Linked DNA regions of Canis lupus familiaris. The protein of the gene in region 2 interacts with the protein of the main gene of each other region in a pairwise test. Links are inferred from orthologs where the notes say so. Each region holds a gene or a part of one and is shown on either strand. Other genes may lie near its edges.

What was found.
Region 1: the proteins of ARRB1 (region 2) and GNMT interact in binary tests that used the Homo sapiens proteins (3 or more experiments, as listed by UniProt). The link is inferred for Canis lupus familiaris from reciprocal best matches to the Homo sapiens genes ARRB1 and GNMT.

What each region holds. Positions count from the first base shown.
Region 1 is NC_049233.1:11,684,906-11,691,959, forward strand, and holds GNMT (glycine N-methyltransferase), read left to right. Parts: upstream 1-3,393; 5' UTR 3,394-3,429; coding exon 3,430-3,635; intron 3,636-4,399; coding exon 4,400-4,527; intron 4,528-4,954; coding exon 4,955-5,071; intron 5,072-5,279; coding exon 5,280-5,422; intron 5,423-5,530; coding exon 5,531-5,652; intron 5,653-5,735; coding exon 5,736-5,907; 3' UTR 5,908-6,120; downstream 6,121-7,054. Other genes in the region: PEX6 (peroxisome biogenesis factor 6), read right to left, coding at 6,547-6,683, 6,818-6,957. UniProt on the Homo sapiens protein: Catalyzes the methylation of glycine by using S-adenosylmethionine (AdoMet) to form N-methylglycine (sarcosine) with the concomitant production of S-adenosylhomocysteine (AdoHcy), a reaction regulated by the binding of 5-methyltetrahydrofolate.
Region 2 is NC_049242.1:23,398,573-23,404,848, reverse strand, and holds part of ARRB1 (beta-arrestin-1), read right to left. Parts: intron 5,871-6,276; coding exon 5,803-5,870; intron 3,644-5,802; coding exon 3,508-3,643; intron 2,527-3,507; coding exon 2,442-2,526; intron 1,989-2,441; coding exon 1,916-1,988; intron 1,074-1,915; coding exon 936-1,073; intron 1-935. UniProt on the Homo sapiens protein: Functions in regulating agonist-mediated G-protein coupled receptor (GPCR) signaling by mediating both receptor desensitization and resensitization processes.

The DNA.
Region 1 (7,054 bases), on a different chromosome or scaffold from region 2:
CTCTCTTTTTTTTTTTTTTTAAGACTTTATTTATTTATTTATTCATGAGAGACAGAGACACAGGCAGAGGGAGAAGCAGGCTCCCTGTGGAGAGCCAGATGCAGGACTCATCCCTGGACCCCGGGATCACCACCTGAGTTAAAGGCAGCCACTCAACCACTAAGCCACCCAGGTGCCCCTCCCAATAGCATTTTGAGCCCCTAGAAAATTCCTGGCTTACCTCAGATGCATTCAGAAGGGGTTAAGAGACGAAAGTAAATGTAAAAGAAATAGGAAAAAAATAATAATTTGCCCTAGGCCACTTATCTATATATTTATAATTCCCAGTACTGTGCCCTTTATTTTTTTTAAAGATTTTATTTATTTATTCATGAGATACAGAGAAAGAGGCAGAGACACAGGCAGAGGGAAAAGCAGCCGCCCTGCAGGGAGCCTGACGTGGGACTCGATTCTGGGATGGGGATCGCACCCAGAGTTGCACCCAGGGTCTCCAGGATCACGCCCTGAGCCAAAGGCAGATGCTCAACTGCTGAGCCACCCAGGTGTCCCCTGTGCCCCTTTTAAGTTTGCCAAGGACCTCTCTATAGGGTCAGCATAAGCACAAGACTCCATTACTTGGGGAAGACAGGCCCATTTGAGGCAGTCTGTGTGCTAAAAATAGGAAGTTAAGAATGATTACATAATCTTTGGGGTCCCTCTAGCTCCCAGATTCTACAGATAATGGAAGGATGAGGAGAGAGGAGCCTCCATTCTAAATTCCATGCTTAGCTCTTTCTGAAGCCAGAAGAACAAACATAGGTGGGGAAGGCTGTTCTCGCTTTCTTGGGCTTCACTGGGGGGCATATTGCTGAATCCACCTTAGTCCAGGGTCTTGTCCTAGGAAGAGACTTCTGGGGACGCATAGGTGGCTCAGCAGTTGAGCCTTTGCTTTTGGCTCAGGTGTGACCCCAGAGCCCCGGGATCGACTCCTGGGATCAAGTCCCACCTCAGGCTCCCTGCATGGAGCCCGCTTCTCCCTCTGCCTGTGTCTCTGCCTCCCTCTCTGTGTGTCTCTCGTGAATAAATAAACAAAATCTTAAAAAAAAAAAAAAAAAAAGGAAGAGACCTCTGCTTTGGGGAGGAAGGGTAGATGTACACTAACCAAACCAAAGGGCCAATTTATGAAGTAGAAGTGTGCAACACAGCAGCAAGGGCATCAAGCATTTCAACCCCTAACCATGGACTTGGTATCTTGCGGGTATCTCTGTAGAAAGCAGAGAATGTTTACAAATTAAAACTTTTAGGGGCGCCTGGATGACTCAGTCAGTTAAGCGGCTAACTCTTGGTTTTGGCTGAGGTTGTGATCTCAAGGTCGTAATATCAAGGTCGTGAGATCTAGCTGAGCCCTGAGGCGGGGTAGGGCTCTTCCTCAGTGAGGAGACCTCTTGTCCTTCTCCTTGCCCCTCTGCCTCTCCCCCTGCTTGCCCTCTCTCATGCTCGCTCTAAAATAATTGAATAAAATCTTTTTTAATTTATTCATGAGAGACACAGAAAGGTGAGAAAGAGAGGCAGAGGGAGAAGCAGGCTCCATGCAAGGAGCCAGATGTGAGACTTGATCCTGGATCCTAGGATCACGTCCTGAGCCAAAGGCAGATGCTCAACCACTGAGCCATCCAGGCGTCCCTAAATAAAATACTTAAAAAAAAAAAAAGAAAGAAACCAAAAGTTTTAGGTGTGCCTAGGTGGCTCAGTTGGAAAGTGCCTGACTCTTGATTTCGGCTGGGGTCATGATCTCAGGGTTGTGTTTTTTGTTTGTTTGTTTGTTTGTTTGTTTGTTTTAAGATTTTATTTAGGGCAGCCTGGGTGGCTCAGTGGTCTAGCGCTGCCTTCGGCCCAGGGTGTGATCCTGGAGACCTGGGATTGAGTCCCATGTCAGGCTCCCTCTGCCTGTGTCTCTGCCTCTCTCTCTCTCTCTCTCTCTCTCTGTGTGTGTGTGTGTGTCTCTCCTGAATGAATAAGAGACACACACAGAGAGGCAGAGACATAGGCAGAGGGAGAAGCAGGCTCCTCACAGGGAGCCGATGCGAAACTTGACCCTCTGACCTGGAATCACACTCTGAACCAAAGGCAGACCTCAACCGCTGAGCCACCCAAGTGTCCTGATCTCAGGAGTTTTGATATTGGGCTGCTATCAGGCTCTGTGCTGGGCATGGAGCACCCTTGATATTCTCTCTCCCTCTGCCCATCCCCCCTCTAATTTTTTTTTTTTTTTAATCAACTTTTAGGGGCATCTGGCTGGCTCAATAAAGCATGGAATCCTTGATCTCAGGATTGTGAGTTCCATTCCCATGTTTGGTGCAGAGATTACTTAAAATAAAATCTTAAAAAAAAAAATTAAGGGGCAACTGGGTGGCTCAGTCGGTTAAGCAGCTGCCTTCAGCTCAGGCCATGCTCTCGTGGTCCTGGGATCAAGCCCCCAGTGGGTCTCCCCTGCTAAGCAAGGAGCTTGCTTCTCCCTCTCCCTCTCCCTCTGCTCATGCTCTCTTGCTCATTTCATATAGATAAAATCTTTAAAAAAATTTTTTTTAAAGATTTTATTTATTCAGGAGAGGGAGAGAGGCAGAGACACATGCAGAGAGAGAAGCAGGCTCCATGTTTTATCCTGGGTCTCCAGGATCACGCCCTGGGCCAAAGGCGAGCTCTCAACCACTGAGCCACCCAGGCGTCCCAATAAAATCTTATTTAAAAAATAAGATTGATTGATTTTTGGTGGAGATGCTGGATTTCAAACAGGGGCCTCAAACAGCAAAAAGTGCTTAGAAGCATTGCTAGTCGGTAAAGAACTGGGAGGAAAGGTCGGACGTCGCCTTAGAGACTCAGGGAAAAGCTCAGTGCGTCACCTCCAGGCCGGAGGAGCACCTGCCTCCAGGTGGGCAGACGATCCCCTGGACTAGAACTGCTCCTGGACTTGGGTGGCCCCTCCAGCATTCTTATCCCCAGATACGCCCTCTTCCTCCCTTCCAGGCCCTCCTCCAGCCGGACAAGCCTCCTTTAGATATGCTAATACCGTCCGAGCGCTGAGCTCGGCGTGGACTGGGAAGTTTTCTTTCCTTCCTTTGCAGTTTAGGTGGCGGCGGTGGGGTGGGCGGCCTCACCGCTCCCCTCCCCCACGCACACACCGCGGCTGGCCCCTCCGGGTCCTGCGGGGCCCTGGCTCAGTGGGTGGGGCAGGGAGGGCCCTTTGCCGCCGGGTGGTCGCCCAGAGGGCTGGTCTTCCCGCGGGCGAGAAGGGCCTATTCAGACCTCCCGGCCGCGCCCCCGCCCCGAGGCCGCAGCCCGGCAGGGGCGTGTCCCCGCGCTCACCTGCCATTGGGCAGGTGGGGCGGCCGGCCTCGGGCGGGCCGCGCTATAAACGCGGGCGGGCGGCGGCGGAGCCAGGCGCGCCGCAGGATGGTGGACAGCGTGTACCGCACCCGCTCCCTGGGGGTGGCGGCCGAAGGGCTCCCGGACCAGTACGCGGACGGGGAGGCGGCGCGCGTGTGGCAGCTCTACATCGGGGACACCCGCAGCCGCACGGCCGAGTACAAGGCCTGGCTGCTCGGGCTGCTGCGCCAGCACGGCTGCCAACGGGTGCTCGACGTGGCCTGCGGCACCGGGTGAGCGCGGGCCGGGGCCCTGGGGGTGGGGGTGCCGGCCGGGAGGAGGGGCTGGGACAGCCAGCGTGGAGGTGGGGACTCGGGATGCCGACGGCCGGATCCTCCCGGCGGCGCGGCGGCGGCGGCGGCGGCGGCGGCGGCGGCGGCGGCGGCTTGGCTTTGGGACCAGACCGATGTAAGCTCTCCTGGGTGCTGGCTCTGGCACAGCTCCCGAGTCGTGGCCTTGGGCAGTGTTAACAGTTAACAATTCGTTCGATACTTGGCCGTGCCATGCGCTGTGCCAGGAGCTTTGGATACATCCATTTTTAAGGTCTTCAGAAAACCTCAAGATGTATGCAGTGATGTCCCACTTAGAGTTGCTGAAATCCTGCCCCAGAGGGGTGAAGGCCCCTCTACCTAGTGGAGAAGAGATGCTGTACTACTTCCGCGTGCCCAGGTTCCTGAATTCCAGGGACCTCAGTTTGCCTCATCTCTCAAGCGAGGGAAACCCCATGTACCTCACAGGGTTGCCGTGAGGATTAATGCACAATGACGGAGTGCCTGGCTCTGAAGGGATGCTAACAAAACCCCAAAGTTGCTACCTGGTGATAGGGAACCCATTTGCCAGGTCATTTGAGATCAGTGGAGAGGGCCTGGGGAGAGGAAGAAGAGGAATGGAGCCAAGAGTGGAGGAGACAGAAGGGTCCAGCACAGGACCTCCTCCTTGCCTTTCCCAGGCCCCTTGACTGCCCCTCCCTGCCTCTCTCCCCTCTGGCCCTGCCCAGGGTGGACTCCATCATGCTGGTGGAAGAGGGCTTCAGCGTGACCAGTGTGGATGCCAGTGACAAGATGCTGAAGTATGCACTTAAAGAGCGCTGGAACCGGCGGCACGAGCCAGCCTTCGACAAGTGGGGTACGCACGTCCAGGCAGGCCTTCCCCGCCCGGCACCCCAGGGCCCAGTGCTCTTAATTCCTGTGCAAATTCGGGTGTTTGTTTTCCCTAAGGGGACAGCAAAATTACTTTCATTTCCCCAGAAAGGGAGGCTTAGGCACTAGAATGAGGTATCTGGTAATGAGGGGCTAGTTTTGATTATAAGTGTCTTCTCCCAAATAAAACCCAGTAAGCACAGAGCCATTCTTCCCATCACAGCTTCCTCCCCGCCCCCTTGACCCCTCCTCCCCTTCACCTTCCATATCCATAATAATCCCCTCCTCCTAACTGGATGGGGAATCCCCATGTGTCTTGAAGAGGAAACTGAGGCAGGGCTGCACTCGATGGAGAGGGGTACTGCTGGTGCCTCCATGCCACCTCGAGCTCTCCTTCCCCTTCCTGGTCCCAGTCATTGAAGAAGCCAACTGGATGACTCTGGACAAAGATGTGCCCCAGCCACCAGGGGGTGCCTTCGATGCTGTCATCTGCCTTGGAAACAGCTTTGCCCACTTGCCAGACTGCAAAGGTGAGACAGAGTGTACCCTGGAGCCTGGCCCTTTGAGCTATACCTCTTTTCACAGACCCCTGGGTGCCTGCTATCCTGGCCAGAGCAGACTGTTTTCTGCTCCTCCCTGACTTGGCGTCTGTATCCCTGGGGAGGAAAAAGCTGGGAGGGAGACTGGTGCTTGGGGCCCTGAGCGGACGCAGCCTCTTTGCCCTTGCCTGGAGCTCAGGAGATCAGAGTGAGCACCGGCTGGCACTGAAGAACATCGCGAGCATGGTGCGGTCAGGGGGCCTGCTGGTCATTGACCATCGCAACTATGACCACATCCTCAGCACAGGCTGTGCACCCCCAGGAAAGAACATCTACTATAAGGTGAGGGCCCTGGGGGTGGGATGAGAAGCCCAGAATGGGGGATGTGATCCTGGGGTCCAGCCCTGCAGTGGTTGCCAAGGCTAATACAGCCTGCACCACTACCTACAGAGCGACTTGACCAAGGACATCACCACATCAGTGCTGACAGTGAACAACAAGGCCCACATGGTGACCCTGGACTATACAGTGCAGGTGCCAGGGGCTGGTCAGGATGGTTCTCCTGGCTTGAGGTACCCACTGGGCTTGGCAGCGGGTGAAGGGGGGTGGTGCCGAGGCCACCAGTCCTCATGGTTGCTTGGGGGCTCTGTTGCAGTAAGTTCCGGCTGTCCTACTACCCGCACCGTTTGGCTTCCTTCACGGAGTTGCTACGAGCAGCCTTTGGGGGCAAGTGCCAGCACAGCGTCCTGGGTGACTTCAAGCCTTACAAGCCGGGCCAGGCCTCCATTCCTTGCTATTTTATCCATGTGCTCAAGAGGACGGACTGAGCGCTGAACCTGGCCTCAGCTCCTACAACCCTCCAGCCAACATGGCCAGCCAGATCTCTCTGGGGAGGTGGGGACTAGCAGTCCCATACCCGGCCCAGCCCCAGCCCTGCAGATCCTGGGGTGCTGGGAGGGGCAAGACTGCTGTTGTGGGTGCAGGATTTGGGTTTGGGCAAATGGAAGTAGTAGCAATATAGTCTGTGCCTTTTTCAGTTCTGCATGTTTTGTGTTTATATGGGAAGGATCAAGCTCCCGCCACCGTCCCCTCCCTGGCCCTCCCCTGGGGCTTTGTCCTTCCACAAACTAGCTCTTTTCACACTCCAATCTTTCAGATCACAACCAGCAGGGGGCAGCATCCACTTTATTTTCAGCCAAGACTGAGGCTCCCTCTGGCCAAGCTCCTCCTCCCAGCAGAGGGTCTTTAGTCTTGGGGCTGGAGCTGGCCTGGAAGGACAGCTAGGCAGGGGATGATGCCCTCTGAGTCCCCATGGGGCTGCTTGGCATGTAGGGGATCTCCTGGAGATAGGCAGCCTTTGGGTGCAGCCACAGCTTGCTGAGGAGCCCTTTGCTCTCTCAGGTCTCTGTGGGGACACCTAAGTACCTTCAGCCCTTGCGGGCAGGGTCCCAGATGGTAGGAGGCTCCTAGCAGGCGGCAAACTTGCGCTGGATGCGCTTGTAGCGGAGCAGTTCCTGCTCACTGACTGAGGGCTGCAGCCGGGCAGCGGCCTGCAGTAGGTCGTCCATGGTGAGTAGCAGTGTTGAGCTCCCGGGCTCCAGCCCTGGTGGGGGGAAGGGTGACAAGGGAGCAACAAAGGCTGTGGCCTGTGTCCGAGGAGGGGAGAGCCCTGGAGTGGGCATCATCTTCTTGCCCAGAGGCCCCCAAATTGGCCTATGGGGCTGGCAGGTAGCTCACCTTCCTCCAGGTCCCGAACCCTGCGTTTGAGGGCAGTTGTCATGGCATCGGAGCAGAGAGAATAGAGGTCTGCGCCTGTCAGCTGGGGAGGACAGCGATCCAGCACATTCACCAAGCTCACAGAGGGCTCTAGCTTGAACCTGTTATGCAGATAGAGGTTTTACCTGGCATCCTCTTTTTTTTAGATTTATTTATTCATGAGAGACACAGAGAGAGGCAGAGACACAGGCAGAGGGA
Region 2 (6,276 bases):
TGGGTCTCCAGGATCGCGCCCTGGGCCAAAGGCAGGCGCCAAACCGCTGCGCCACCTAGGGATCCCTGGACTCTGCTTCTTTTGCTGCCCAGCAATCTGTGTGGCACAAAGGGCCAGACAGCGGGTTCAGGGAGGGAGAGGGAGGTTGGCAAGGCAGAGGAGGAGGTATTGGGGAAGACATGCAGGAGGTAGCCCCTCCACCAAGTCTTGAAGACAGGATTTGAGCCAGGGTGGAAGAAGAGGGCAAAGGCTTGGAGGCAAGTGGTCAGCATGTCCATGTGGACAACTGTGCGTCTGGAGCAGAGGATCCATGTTGGAAGTCAGGGGTAGGGTGTTGCAGAGGCAGGCCAAAGCCCCACTGGAGGGCCAGGCCTCAATGGCCAGGGTAAGGCGAGTTCCCCACATGCCAGGCCTCCACCAGAGCAGGGTAGCCTCAGAGTCAGTGATGACCGTGAGGCAGGAGTGATCATACGGCCCAGGGATCCCTGCCTTTGAGGGGCACACTGACATCTGGTCTAGCCCTGCTCACTGTCCACATCTCCCCAGACGCCCCACTCCGACTCCTGATTCATCCTCTTGTGCTGGAGTCACTCCTTTCCTTCCAGCCTTGCTCTGTCTCAGGGACGCACCCCGTCTGATTGAAGACACGAGGTCAGGAGCTGCTGCCTTCTGCAAGAAGCCTCTCCAGGTTGCCCTCCCCTGGGCAAGCCAGCAGAGCCCAGTACTTACAAAGGAAGCAGGGTCTAGGGGCCCGTCTTGCTCTCTGTGTCACCCCTAGATAGGGGTGGGAGTAAGAGGACAATTCAAGCTCCTAAGATGGATCAGGGACAACGCCTGGGGAGAGGGTAACCATACCATGTGCTGGCACTAGTGGGAAAAAGGAAAGGTGGGTGTGGGCCCCCTGGAGTCAGGGGGTGGGGCAAGCAGGTCCTCACAAGGTGCTGGAGGCCAGGTTCGTGTCTTCATGCTTGAGCTTCCCGTCCAGGGCGAGGCCCCGCTTCTCTCGGTTGTTGGCCAGGAAGGGCGTCAGGGTGTAGACCTTGCAGAATGTTGAACTGGGCGCCACTGTGTCACTGGGAAGAAGGGAGGCAGGTGTGGACACAGCCCCCAGGGCCAACCCCCAGCCATCACCCCCAGCCCAGTCAGAACATATCAAAGACCATATAGTAACATTTAAAACATGTTTTTAACTTTCCAAAATACATTGCCATTAAAAAAAAATACATTGCCATTATATGTAAAGAAACACACACATACGTGAAAAATTATATGAAATGCACTTGCCTCCCCAGAGGAGGCAGGGCCAGGAAAAAAAACCAAAAACCACACAGATGTGTCTTCCAATGAGAGTAACTACTTCCTTTAGGTAAGAAAAGATGTTTCATCTGAGATCTCTTGCCTTAGCCGCTAACAAACTTGAGACAAAATTCCATGCTCAACCAGAGTAGCTGTCCTCAAGCCTAGATTTTTAAAATGTAATTATTCTCTACCCTCCCACATACAACCCCTTTTACCTAGTAAGTTGGATTATTCTCTTATCAGACAAGAAATACTGTGTACCTAGTACCTTGCCCTCTTTGTCTTGGCTGTTAGGAAGCTCAGAGCAAAGTATGTCCTTCAACCTAGGTTTCTGGTACAGTGTAATTACAACCCCAGTTCCCTTTGATTCATTAGGTCTCATTTGGTCATTCTAGTTTTAATGGGTCTGTCCCTTGACTGTGGCATGTATTTTCTTGTAGCTAAACCAAGCAGGTGTTTTCTTAAAAGGCTATTTGGGATGATCTACTCTGAGCGACAAGGAAGTCTGAGATCCAGCCTTCTGTCAGGTGGAAAAGAACCATCTGCATCTGTAACTACAGCCAGGGCTTCTCATTTCCCCACCCACACATCCAAGGATGGGCTTGTGCTCACTTACTCAGCCTCTTCCATGGCCACAGGGCACTTGTACTGGGCTGTGTTAAAAAGGCAGATGTCCGCATACTGGCGCACTGAGAGGGAGAGGGAGACAAGGTGGTGTGAGCCAGGACTGCAGCTCCCGGGCATCCCAGGCTCCCTTGAGTTGGGGATGTTCAGCCCCAAGAATGGCCAGAGTGCACTGGGAGATTGTTCAAGAGACCACCCTCATCTTCCACACAAAGGGTAGCCCGAACACACCTGTTCCCTTCCATCACCAAAGGTCTCCCTCAGGGACAGCTTTGCCCAGAACCCAGGGAACTTAGAGGGTAGGTGACTTAAACAGTAAACTCATTACCTGGCCAATGAGTAGCCTGTGTTACTAGCCTCAAAAGCCTTTCCCTTTGGCCTAGAGTAGGCCCTGGGCTTTCCTGCGGGCCAATAGTTATCTACAAGGCTGTTAACAAGGGGAGAACCTTCAGCCACCCCCAACCCTTGGGAGAGTTCCCTCTTGCTGGCCCCATGGGGTGGCCTTCCACCCGGGGTACCCGAGATCTTGATCTTCTTCACTGTCTTGTTGGTGTTGTTGGTGACGTGGACATTAACGCTGATGGGTTCTCCATGGTAATAGATCTGGGAGGCAGAAGAAGAGAGAAGGGTTGGACCAGAGGATACTAAAGCTCCAGAAAGATGGAGGGAGAAGAGGCCCCATCATATATCCTAGGGTTCCCCAGACTTTGGCCACTCTGACGTTGGCCTCAAGTTCATCAGCCACTTCCCACTGATGCTAAGTCACTGGGCATGTTAGACCAGTTCTTTGTCAGGATTTTGAAAGATAATTGAATGAGGAGGTGATATTCCTGGGCTCTAGTCTGGACTTGGTGACCAGAAATAATGAGAACACTAATTATAATAATGATAAAGAGGATGAACACGGTGTGACCTTGGACAGGTTGGCTAAGCCTCGGCTTCCCCCCATCTGGAGGACTTGGACTAGGTGATGTATCAAGTCCCTGCTGGCTTGGGATGCCAGGAATTCTAGACACAGGAGGGCCTAGAAGAAGCAGGAGAGAGAGGTGGGGAAAGACGGGCCTGCTCACCAAGGGAACTGGCTCTGAATCCTTACTGAAGGACCTCAACTCAAATCTGTGGCCAACACTTGCCCTCAGCTATCCACAGAGAGAGAGAGAGAGAGAGAGAGAGGCAGTGCCCACACATTAAGAGGGGGACGGGGTGCAGGAAGACGGCCGAGACTCAGGTCCCTTCAGGAGGCACGCTGACTTCTTTTTTTTTTTTTAATTTTATTTATTTATGATAGTCACAGAGAGAGAGAGAGAGAGAGAGAGAGAGAGAGGCAGAGAGGAGGCACGCTGACTTCTAAAGTCGATTGTATCCCTCAGGCTCATGCCCCACTCTGCCATTCCTTTAGGCCCCCAGAGGCTTCCCCACAGCCCCCTAAGGGATGTCTCAGATTCCCTGAACCCTGTGGTCTTAGGACTGGGGGCAGAAGCTCTTACCTACCCCAGGAGCCCTGGTGACCATGAGAGAACTGGGATGAGATGTCCCAGCCCCAGGAGAACAGCCCCCACCCCCTGCCAAGTCCAAGCCTCCTACCTCCTTATCCAGGGAAGCTTCTAGATGCAAGGGCTTGTCCGACATGAGGAACTGCCTGGTGGTCTCAGCTGTGGGCTGGGGGCCAGGCCTCTCCGGGGCATACTGAACCTTCCTGATCACCAGGCGCACAGAATTCCTAATGGAGATGGGCAGAGCAAAAGATAGCCAGAGTCACCTGCCTCCATCCTCCTTCCTCATAACCCTCCCTTTCCTCCTCAGGAGACTGCCATGGCTCCCCCGGCGTTACAATCCAGACCAAACTGCAGAGGTGGACACAGAGGCCTTGTCACCACCTGGCCCCACTCCATCCTCCCCCATTGTGTACACAGCCACCCCCACTTCCTCACTATCATCCTCAGTGGTTCATCTCGTCCTGTCTCTGCAGCTTTGCTTACACCGGACCCCCGCCTGCAATACTCTCCTCCTGCTTCTACCCTCATTTATTTCCTTCTTCAGGACCCAGCTAAATACCTCCTCTTCCAGGAAACCTTCCTGGATCAGCTCACTTGATCTTGTCCCGGTCTTAACTCCCACACCAGCGGAGCTGAACCACCCCATGGCAGTCCCTCATGTGGATCTGTGCCTTGGCAGCCAGCAGGATGGCGAGAAAGGAACTATGTTTCACTTCCCACATCCCTTACTTTACTTAATAGTGTAAGCTCCTTAAGGAGCAAAATTTTTATCTCAATTGTTCACTGCTGTGTTTTCAACATCTATGACAGTGCCTGCCATATAACAAATGCCTTCCAAATATCTATTAAATCAAAATCTGCAGAGGGACCCCATGAAAAGGTGGGGGCTCAGAGAGGTGACGGGGTTCAGTGAGGGGGTGTGGATTCAATCAGGGGGATGTAGGCCAGTGACAAGGATGGGGACCCAGTGAATAGATGGAGGCCCAGAGATGAGATGGGACTCAGTGAAAGGGACAGGGGCTTAGGGAAGAAACGAGGATACAAGGATTGGGAGGGGATGGGATCTGGTGAGGCAGTGCCTGCGATGTGCTGGGTGTGCCAGCATCCCCATTTCTCACCTGCACCCCCTAGAACTGGACAGCCAGGCTGAAGGTCTGAGCTTGCCCCTTACTAACTATATGCCCTTGAGAAAATTCACCCCTGGATCTCAGTTTCCTCATCTGTAAAATGGCAACAGTAGCAACACCTACCTCCCAGGGTTGCTGAGAGGATTAAATTAGTTCCTACATGTTCACCACCCTGAATAGTGTCTGGTCCTTAATAGGCCCTTCATAAACGATAGCTGCTATATCATTATCAGTAGTATCTCTGATGTGGACTTAAAATGTCACACTGGCATAGGGTGAAGGCAGTGGCCCTCAGTGTCGTTCCTCTTCCTTGCTCCGGTCAGGCCCCCTTCAAAAACCCACGAACCCCTATCTTTCCCCTGGTCTCAGGTCTGAAGAAGAAAAGGAAGACAGAGAAGCCAGGGAGAAGGGTCCCATCTCCCCACACCTTGGAGTTGCCTGGGCTGGAGATGGAGATGCTCAATACGCTCTTCAGCCGCCAGGTGGCAAACTCAGCCCACTCCCTAAGAAGCCGCAGTGCCCTCCCTCAGCCACCCTCAGCCAGGCTCGGTAGGAATGCGGGCGGCTGCCTGGGGAGGCAGGGTGCATCAGAGTGGGGGGCTGAGGCCAGCCTCGCCTCCTCGCCAGAAGACAGGGCAGGGCCTGCCTTGAGGAGGAACAGGCACGAGAGCAGGGCTGGGCAGTCTATCTCAGAAGTCAGGTCCAGCTGTTTCCAGCTGCCAGTCTGGACTGTCTGCCCAGGGCTGTGCCTCTCTAGAGAACACTACCTCTTCTGACACGTGGGCTGACCCATCCCACACCCCACTGCCGCCCCCACTACCACCTGCTGCTGATGGCTTCCCAGGAGAAGTAGGAAGTAGGGGTTCAGGGTGGCTGGAAAAAACTCTTGCTCACTCTTTAAAATGATCCAAATTTTGTGTTTCTTTCCAAAATAAAATAAAAACATGCAGTCTCATGGGGCAAGACTTGAAGCAGGGTGATGGAGGAGGCAGGTTCAGCATTGTAAAGGGAGAAATCCTGAGGCCTGAGGCCTGAGCCCTAAGCCCCAGACAGTTGAGCCACTTTCTCCAGGAACCCCTCCAGGACTTGCCAGCCTTCCAGAGGGCCCTTCTTGGAGTTTCTGGGGCTGGAATATGCGGCCCCTCCTCACACACTTCCAGGTATTGTTACTTATCTCTTCTCTGACTTTGCTGGTCTTGTCTCTCTCCCTCTGCCAGTAGGCAGCCCACACCCAGCGGAAGCTGTGCCCTTCTCACCGCTTGTGGATCTTTTCCTCCAGGTTCTCGGCACAGAAGGCTTTGACCTCGTAGTCCACACCACAGGCCTGAGGAGAAGGGGCTGCTGACCACAGGGTCCCGACAGCACAGCCATCCCACCCTCTTATTTTACAAACCAGGACCCTGGAGGGGAATAGCAAACTTCACAGGCCAACCGCCCCTCAGCCTGATTCAGGACCCTGTGATCGGCCTCAGCCCCAGTGCTGTGCTGCACCCCAACCCCACCTGGCCTTCCCACAGAGCTCCCCTAGCTCCCCCAACACTGGGTGTCCCAAACTGCCCTAACTGGGCTCCACCCTGCAGACACCTGCCTGGTCTGGGCAGCTGTCCTCATTAAGGCAGCCACTCGGCAATAACAATGGGGGTGCTCAGCAGTCCTAGGAGGGGAGCACAGACTATGTGCAGACCCAACAGTGCTCTGGTGGCTCACTCCACCCTCTAAACTGCAGGAGG